Kluyveromyces lactis: one gene and its partner. The protein of the gene in region 1 interacts with the protein of each later gene in a pairwise test. Links are inferred from orthologs where the notes say so. Each region holds a gene or a part of one and is shown on either strand. Other genes may lie near its edges.

Region 1 (5,117 bases):
AATAAAGTGAGTTCTTTAAGTTTGCAACAGATACGTCAGCGGCTAAATTACAAGGATGTAGGATCGTATCCATTCTCAAGGCTATTTGCATGGCTACAAATGTTCATGGTAAGGATCCTCAGGATGGGTCCTGTTCCCAGACACTTGTCGTTTATCATGGATGGGAACCGCCGTTATGCAAAGAAATTGGATCAACCTGTGAAAGAGGGTCATAGAGCCGGAGGCGCAACATTAATAGACATCTTACATATCTGCAGAAGGTTGAATGTGAGTAGTGTGAGTGCATATGCGTTCTCCATTGAGAACTTCAATAGATCTCCTCAGGAAGTCGCGACTCTCATGGAACTCTTGGGATATTATATCGATCAGTTTACTGAACGTGCAACAAATGCTAAGGATGAGTTGTACGGAATTAGACTAAGAGTCGTAGGAGATCTTTCATTATTGAGTGAAGAGTTGCTCAAGAAGATTCGTAACGCAGAGAAATTGACTCGTGATGGACAAGAGTTCGTGTTGTACCTTGCCTTGCCCTACACATCGCGTAACGATATTGCACATTCTATGCAGGTTACCACCGACAAATGCATCAATTCTAACGAGGATATCACAGAACAAGCCTTGACTGATAACATGTATTTCGAACAGTACTCCAATAAATGTGATCTATTGATTAGAACAAGTGGACACACAAGGTTGTCAGATTATATGCTATGGCAGGTCCATGAAGGTAGTATTATCGAGTTTGTCGACTGTCTATGGCCAGATTTTAATTTCTGGAGGCTATATTGGATAATGTTGAAGTGGAGTTTCTACCAAACTTGGCAAAACGCCAGTCAGTTGCCAGATCCTGTTCGTACTAGAACTCGCGTGTTTCCAAAAATATCTGGAGCTCTACCGATTGAAACTTTGAAAAGAACTAAACGTGTTGCACTAGACTCTTTACCTGCCGCACCATTGGCCGTTTCCGTTGACCGGAAATGAAATCAGAATTTATTTTCCCCCATACCTCTGGCTATCCATATTACACTTTTACTTGCCCTCTTCATACTGACTGTATAACCGAAATTAAAGTCTCTTTCTTACACTAACCTTTTCACCACTTTCCTAGTAACTTTCTTCTTACGTTCGGTGGTTCTCGCCTCTTCAATCTTCCTGTTATAAACGTTGTACATTGCCACATCTGCTGTTAACACTAGAAGGCCACTGAATAGACAGAGCAATACCCTGACGTGAATATCCCATCCTGTTCTGGTCACGTACCAAACAGCGTAGATGGTTCCGAACACTGTCAATAATACATTGACTACTGCCGATACCTGCTCCTTAATCTCTTTGTTAATCTGTGCAATTGAGGGTTCCTTGTCAGCTGTTGAGCCGGCCAGATGCAATGAATCTCGCTTGAGCATCTCTTGGTACTCTTTCTCCTGTTGCAGTGCCTTCAGATTTTCCAACTCAGCTTTGAATGACTCAGAGTATCCCTCACCAGGAACTCTTTTCTCCTTGTATCGAAGTTTCCCACTCTTCAATAGCTGTTTCATACTTACGGTGGCATCATCCCTCCAGAACTGTTGGTACAATTCCGATAGAAGCTCAAATGATATGCTATTTTGTTGTAAACTTAACGATGCCCGATGATCTTCTTTCAACTTTTCAAGTCTTTGTCTTAAGAGCCCCTCGTCGATGGTAATGTCAAACATATGTAGAATTGTCTTATTGCTAGCCTTGCAGTAGATACAGACCCTAGTAGATAACTTCGTTTGCTATTTCATTCATAATTTCTCAAAGTTCCATTCTTCTTTCATTAGCACTAAACCTTTAAATTAATTATCTTTAACTGAGATGTTTTTGTTGATATTTGTCTATGCAATGGCAAATACAATATATGCACTGGATAAGAAAGAAACCATCACGAAATTAGTTGCTGCTACTGTACTGTTGATAGATAGATCGGCTAGTAAGTGATCGTGCTACTTGTACTATTTCAGTGTCTTTTGTTTCCTTTCAACTTCTCAGAGCTGATTATTATACCGATAAAAGGATTTAATCTGACACAAGCAAAGTAAACCATTGATAGAAGCCTGTATTAAGGGTGGCGATAAATACCTACTTCCAGATAATATAATCATATCTGGTGTGCATTAGCTGGAATTACGGTTTTTAAAGAATGCGAGAGACCAATTACAGATCGGTGACTGGTAATCGTGCTACCGTTAGTATATCTCAGACCGTTTACGATAGAAGAGCTTTGGATAATGTTTCTGATTTACCATTAATTAATTCATTGAACCATCTGGCGTTCCTATGCTCCACGTCGACCCTGATAAGAGAGGCAATGTCTCGTGACGGTGCGTTGGAGCGGTTGGTATCAATTTTACACGAATGTTATATCCCTATAACGAATTTGCCACAGGTTATGGTATCTTCGGCACAGAATCAATCCAATCCATTACAAACGGTCAAGAGAGACAGACATCTGGCATATTTATCATGGAAATGGACGTTGGCTTATCAGTGTTTGGTATTGACTGGTACGAGAGGTACACTTGGTATAAGAGAGCAAGTGGTGAAGTCCGGCATAATTCCGATTATTGCTACTGTATTGGATAACTATATGATCTATTGTAAGAATTTCGATTTCATCAACAATACGGCCATTCCCTTTACGTTTAGTGAACTAGCAGATTTGGATTCGGATCTATTCCAGTTTACGGACGATGAATTGAGGAAATCAAATGAGAAAGTGGATCCCAAGGACTCTTACTATAAGGATTTCATATCGATGGAAAGGTTGAAATTGTTATTGGGACCCACCGAGAACCAATTTGAATTTGACTTGGAGAATGTAGCTGGCCTACATTTGAAACCTAACTTTATTACAGAATTGGATACAGATTGGCAAAGTCTTGCTCAAGAAGAGTTATGTGTACCTTTACCGGGCTCTGCACTGGAAAATGTCATAATCTTGCCACCAAGAAGATTCTTTTTGGGTAAAGTGATTCCAGAGCTAGATGATGTTACATGGGCTGTACAACTTCTGGCATTCTTGACTAAAAACACTGCGGTGAAGCCAATACTACAGAATACAAATCTCGTCGGTACACTTTCGTTCAGGCCGATTCTTGAGAATGCAAAGATCAGAATGTCAAAAAATATGGAATTGGACATGACACCCCTAACGTTGCACGTTGCCGGCGAAGAAGAAGCGGATGATGAAGACGACGATGAATACGACGAAGAAACTGATGAACCTCCGGAGGATAAGATGGACCTTTCACCAGACCTCACTTTAATAGAAAAATACTTCAAAGAGATTGAGCATCTTTGCCTTGTGAAAGACACCGAAGAGGATGAAGAATATAACAACAACAATGTCGATATATTTGATTTCAGGTTGAGGAAGGAGGAGTCGTTACATGATAAATTCAAGGAATATTGCCAGCAGCATGAATTCTCGAAAGAATTGACCGATGATGACTGGGATAAGATTTTCAATAGTGACACAATGAACCTATTCGCCCTTGTAGAAAGGTTTACCGTCAAGGGCTCCTTAAACGAAATCGTGCACTACTGGAGCTCCGTGGTAATGAGAAACTCGTGCAGGAAACATGAGGCTACAGGAGTCAGGCAGTGTGCTAATTTCAGCTGTGGGAAATGGGAAGATCATCCAAAACAGTTCCCCAAATGTAGAAGGTGTAAGCGCACCAAATATTGCTCAAGACTGTGCCAACTGAAATCATGGGAATTTCATAGGTACTGGTGTCAAGAATCAAACTCAACAAACACCACTGGAAATAGTACAGGAGTTCAAACGCCTACCAGAGACGCTTCTGAATCAGACACGGATCCAGAACATCAGAATACCCATCATCACCACCATCATCATCAACCGCAACAACAAAACCCAACAGAAGCTACAACAATCCCTCCAACTACTCCTTCCACAACAGGCTTTGGAGATACGATCATCCCAACACCAAATACAACCACTGAGCGGTACCGAACACCAGGTGATACCGATCATCACCTTAGCGAGGACACCTAAAGATCTTTACGGTCACGTGTCTACTCATGATAACGTAATGGTCGGGTAACACCATTTCCCTCTTCAGCATCGCATGGTTTTTGCGAATTTGTTGGGATGTTGAGAAATCGGAAAGGCTCAACATACGTAAAAGTAAGAGAAGAGCAGTTGGTTTACGAATAGATGGTCATGAGATGACTTTATTGTTTTGAAATATAAGGTGTTGTTCAGGAGCCAGTGAAGATACATTTGGTGTTTTTTTCTTTTCACTAAGAACGCACTTTTGAAAGTTCCTGTTCAGGTTCACGGTTTTTTTATGTGATTTTTCTTCATAGTGGTGAAAGAGTTATAGCTCAATTGATCTGGAGACGATCGTTTGTTACAAGCTTTACCTTATAATTAAAAGTTTTACTAGAATCCGTTTACTTTGTTGTGCGATCAAGCGTTAAAACATGTCTAGCCAGTCTTCTTCTTCCCAGCTTTGGAGGTTAGCAAGACGCTACAGAGAAGTCATTGGGGTGTTCAATAAACTACAAAGAGAGCATGTAGGCGTCACTGCTGGTACTGGTAATGTAGGTTCCACGAATAAGAAATCTGTTCGTGTTAATACAGTACGTAAATCTACTGCTCCTATTGGTCTTCCCCTGCTTCAGATTGTTACTAATCTGCATAAGTTGTTCCCATTATCTTTCGCAGAGTCTCTTAAAGATTATAAACAATACAATATCAATAAAGAACAATTCCAAGAGGATTTATTATCAGTGTTACCGTACTATCCTGAGCCATCTGCGAGGTTTTCTTCCAAAATCATCAAGACTCCTATAGATGCTGCTGGTAATTACATTAACGAATTTCAAATCACACCGATACGGCCAGAAAGTGATGGAAAACCATTGAAACATATAATCTTGGTTCATGGGTATGGTGCTGGTTTAGGTTTTTACTTGAAAAACTTTAATGCGTTGCTATCAGAAAACGTGGTGGTACATGCCATCGATTTACCTGGTTATGGCTTCTCTTCGCGACCAATGTTCCCATTCCATTATCCAAAGGATTCGTATCTTGCGGTAGAAGACTACTTCCATGATGCCTTGCA
Region 2 (4,691 bases), on another chromosome or scaffold:
CTCGAGTTTTGAAATTAAATCTAACGGTTTGTTGGGATCCAGAACACACATATGTTTGTTATTGCAGAGAACCTCGTTGCTTGAACCCTGAATATGATCACTGAAGTTTTCGATGTACCACTGGTTAATAGTTCGGAAAAAGCTATCTGTGAATGAGGCCGGACCAGTCCATTCTATGATACCCTCATACCAATTAGCAGAATCCTTCGACATGTTATAGGCAGGTTGAACGTCGAAAAGGTTCTTGTAACCCATTGGGAAAGTCAATACGTTGGTGGATGGATCATAGTAATACAATGCAAGATCAGCTATCTTTGCAACGACATCTACAAACAATGGATGACCTGGTCTACTCGCTAAAGTCCATTGACATAGGTTTATCCTTCTATTGAAAAGGCCTCTCCAAGTACCAAGATCCCGTTCTTCCTCTATACCAATTATGACACCGACATCAGTCTTGGAGAGATCATTTTCAGCCATCAATGTGGCCAACGGACCATCTGTAAGCCAAGCGTCTATGTTAACAGAAGGTGAAGTATCTATATCGCTGTAATATCCACCTTTCGCCAATAAAACGAGGTATCTAAAATAATCAGCTTTCAAGATCTTTCTCGGCAACGTATCCCAGGTCTGAATAATTTCTGGGAACAGCTTAAATTGGGTACGTACGAATTCATCGATTTCATCATCATCGAGGAAATGGTAATTGAATCCAGATTGGGATGACCAAAGCCTCACGTTTTCCTGGAACCTAACATCAAGATTCTGTTTTGATTTCCAAGATTGCCAGATATCTCTTGGAATCTCATTTTGAGAATTGAAATGTGCCAACAGCCGATGCCTCAGTGATCCTGTGGACCAATCTGCCGGTACAGTTGGTGTATTGACGGATTTATCCCTATTCTGGAATGCGGGAATGTTATGGAATAGGATCCAAAATAGGTAAATTGAAACAATGGACAACAATAAGCATGAGCGGGGTCTAAGGTGTTTCATGGGTAGATGAGAGGACAAGAAAGTCAGGTCAACTGGCCTTGGAACATTCTTTTCTTTTTCCTGCATCTCGTTTGTTTTTGTTTCACATTCCTATTGTCTTTAGTTTAAGTTTTACATTTCCTTAGCCTTGGGAATTTGATACACCACAGATCATAAAGATTAGAGAACAAAGGCCATTACCCATCTGAGGGGGAGGGGGGGGTATACTTTCTACCAAAACTACGTAAGTATGGAGTAACATATTCCAAAGCGTACCTACAAAATAGCAGTCGTATTAGAAGAACAAACGATATTACAAATTGAATATCCAGAACCAATAATATCAGAGAGTACTTTAATGCAGAATCAAAAGTAACTTTCAGTCTTGAATCTTGTCTAACAGATAAAGATAAGTACCTCGTCTAATCTAATTGTATAAACCGGAAATACAACTTAGAACTAAGTTAGATAACAACATACCATTAGCACTCATGCATAATTTAGATTATAAAAGAGTGCTAATGGTATGTCTGGCGACGCCTGAAACATTCCGACGGATCATCACGTGCGTAACACGTGACACAATTGTTTTTTTCTTGGCAGGGTAGTCGCATTAGCGGTAGAACAATCTAGAAAGAAAAAGAAAATGGCAAGCTACCAAATGTTACCCGGAAACAGATAGGGAAAGCCTCACCCCGCCTCCATTAAACGCCGGATTCAGCTTAGGAATTACGTGTTGACAAATACATACGAAACGACAGATCGCCTCAATTACCCAACAAACTGACTTATCAGTTGCATGCTGAGGTAGATTGTCATATACTATAGAGAGAGTCTCTATCACTCCATGGAAATACTGCTACTAAATCCATTGAGTTGAAAGCAGTATCGGGTGCTTGTGCACCCGATACTCTAACCTTTATCTTGCTTTGCTCTTGCTCTTAGTGCTTCCATTTGTCATACGAATGTCTCACAGTGACAATTGTCATTTTTTTCAATTTTGTATCTTTCTTTTCATCGTGTTTTACAGTTCTTCATCCTCTAGAAACAGAAATAGAAATATAAAAGAGCCAAACGAGTTTTCGATATATATATATATCATATTGGTTGGTATAGAGGTACATGAAGCAAGCACGAGCGGATTCTGTACTTTGAAATAAGGAGGTAAGGTATTTAGCTCTCTGTACACCGAAGGCCCTCGTAATTAAAGAACCAGGGATTTGTTCGGGAAAGAATACTGGAAACGGCCTTTCGTTACATTTTTAAGGAAGTAAGCTAATAAGCTCTATTATAAATTAGTAATTGGAGCAAATAAAAAAAGAGACAGACAGAGAGAGGAAACAGACCATGTCAGCTGCAGATTTGGAATTGAGAAGGACTTTGACGGATGTGGTTGATGACGAGTTGAGGATCCACAATACGAACCCGATGTCTTTAGATATGGGGTTCGGTGAAACGCACTACGATTCGTTTCCGCAACTCACGAGGTCACAGGTGCATTCATTCTATACCGGGCCCAATTTTTCGTCGGGACACTCGCAACACCAGTATAATATGGGCCAGCTCATGGGTCATGATCTGCATTTGTCTGATGATGATACTGCAAGTGGGGTGTTCAACAAGTACGCTGATCCCAATTTGACCACTTTAGATAAGAAAAGCGGATGTGCTGTACCTGCCACTGGTCCTGGTCCAACCGCAACTACGGGCCCAGCTGCCATTGTGAAACAGGTTAATTTGAATTTAACTCCAGTGCAGCCAACGATTTCACTTAATACGATTACTCCAAATCCTTTCTTACAGTCTTCGGCAAGATTCCCAAATGCCCAACAGATTCCTCAGAATAATCCAAACAACCACCATAATGGTATGTCGAATGGAAGGTTGAACAGCGTCCGTGGGTTTAACTTCCAAACGAGAATTAACAACGAAAACGGATTCGAAGATGAGTTTTTGAATGAGGGTTATGGTGATTTCAATAACATGTACGAAGAGGATGAGAAATTGACCGCTCAGGCTACGTTATGGGATGACCAAAACATGGCGGGGTATTATTGGACAAATGATCAGGATACCCTGTCTCGTTTTGACCAAGAATTCAACTTCGATGATGATCTTTCGGATGAAGAAGAAGAAGAAGAAGAGGAGGAGGAGAGGGAGTATGAGGAAAATGCAGACGGAGGAAAAAACAACACAGAATTAACAGACAAGATTCTGAATGACTTACAGGACGATTTCTCTGACAGTGAGGAGGTTTCTACCAAATCGAATGAGGAGTCGTTATACATGGATACCCAACAACGATTGAACGAAAACCAACAGAGGGATTTATCGCAGGTAACTGTTCCTCGCATAGAGTCAATCAAGAGTTCTGTACTCGAAGAAAATGAAAAATTAGAAGAAGAAGAGGAAGAAGGTGATGATGAGGGTGACGCTATGTTCAGCGAGGACGATGAGGATCCTTTATACGAACCTGCTCTGGTGAGTCCCAGAAGAAAACCAAGTATGGTTATATCTCAACAGAATTCTAACAAACAAAGACAACTTCTCACCATAAATACTCGGAAATCGCATGAGGTCAGTGATAATAAACTGGATCCAAAATCAACGAACACGACAGGGTCTCGTACCATGACTAGAAATAGAGGTAATCATCAACGTGGTAAATCTGTGGATGCCCTACTAAGCGTCGACCGTTCGTATGGATCCTCAAATACACACACACACATTCATCATTCCCACAACCAGAACGATGAGCATATCTGCATGGTGAACAACCCAGTCACTAACGAACCATGTATGAAGAAGTTTTCAAGACCGTATGATTTAATCAGACACCAAAAAACTATCCATGCTTCTAAGAAGAAAATATTCAGGTGTTTGATCTGCATTCAAGAACTGGGATCTGAAGGCTATCAGAGAACCTTTTCGAGAAATGATGCCCTAAGTAGGCATGTTAAAGTCAAGCATAATCTACAAGGTACCGAAGCACAGCGTGTGATACAATACGCAAAGGACAACGTTGAATATCAGAACTCTTAACTGTAAGGGTATTTAGTTTGGCGAATTGGTTTTTTTCTCTCTACGTTTCTTCGACTTGATCGGAGTTCTGCTCATATATGTAATTCTGTAAATACACCTTGATATATATATTTGCTATAGAGTACTCAATATCGGATGGTATACTATATTTTCTCTGTTCTCAACTCATTTTTTTCTTGCCACAGGAGAATGTACCCCAATTCGATGTCTATAGAAATTATTGATTAACATAGAAAGTTTATAATGTGTGCCGTTGACTTGTATCTATATATTTATTCCTTGAATCCTTCCTGGCGAACTAATTCTGCATTGACTTTGGCACTTTCTGGGTCTAAGTAGAATTTTCTAATAAATCTGAAATTATCATCTAGTTCAATGACTGAAGGAATGGCATTAGGAATATTGACTTCCTTAATGTCAGTATCGCTAATGCCTTCTAAAATCTTTAAGAGTGAACGGACTGTGCTTCCATGACCGACTATAAGGCTGTCACCACGTTCCTTCAAGTTCGGAAGAATCATATTTTCAAGCAATGGTTTCAATCTTTGAACGACATCGCACAAAGACTCACCATTGGGCAATTCATCATGAGTAATCTCTTCCTCCAAATATTTAACATGCCTGTTTGGTTCTTTAAATTCATATCCTGTATCACCTTGGTCGAAATCTTGTAC

The links. The genes of interacting proteins can lie anywhere in the genome.
Region 2: the proteins of MUB1 (region 1) and RPN4 interact in binary tests that used the Saccharomyces cerevisiae proteins (3 or more experiments, as listed by UniProt). The link is inferred for Kluyveromyces lactis from reciprocal best matches to the Saccharomyces cerevisiae genes MUB1 and RPN4.

Annotation. Positions count from the first base shown.
Region 1 is NC_006038.1:1,122,502-1,127,618, forward strand, and holds MUB1 (MYND-type zinc finger protein MUB1), read left to right. Parts: upstream 1-2,164; coding exon 2,165-4,042; downstream 4,043-5,117. Other genes in the region: SRT1 (ditrans,polycis-polyprenyl diphosphate synthase), read left to right, coding at 1-981; VPH2 (Vph2p), read right to left, coding at 1,080-1,697; CLD1 (carboxylic ester hydrolase), read left to right, coding at 4,474-5,117. UniProt on the Saccharomyces cerevisiae protein: Involved in the determination of the onset of polarized growth. Required for the ubiquitin-dependent degradation of RPN4. Cooperates with UBR2 to transfer ubiquitin from RAD6 to RPN4.
Region 2 is NC_006039.1:372,079-376,769, reverse strand, and holds RPN4 (stress-regulated transcription factor RPN4), read left to right. Parts: upstream 1-2,322; coding exon 2,323-4,017; downstream 4,018-4,691. Other genes in the region: KLLA0_C04125g (glycosyltransferase family 32 protein), read right to left, coding at 1-1,062; phosphoglycerate mutase family protein GPM3, read right to left, coding at 4,290-4,691. UniProt on the Saccharomyces cerevisiae protein: Acts as a transcriptional activator of a number of genes encoding proteasomal subunits. Binds to a PACE (proteasome-associated control element) DNA sequence 5'-GGTGGCAAA-3'.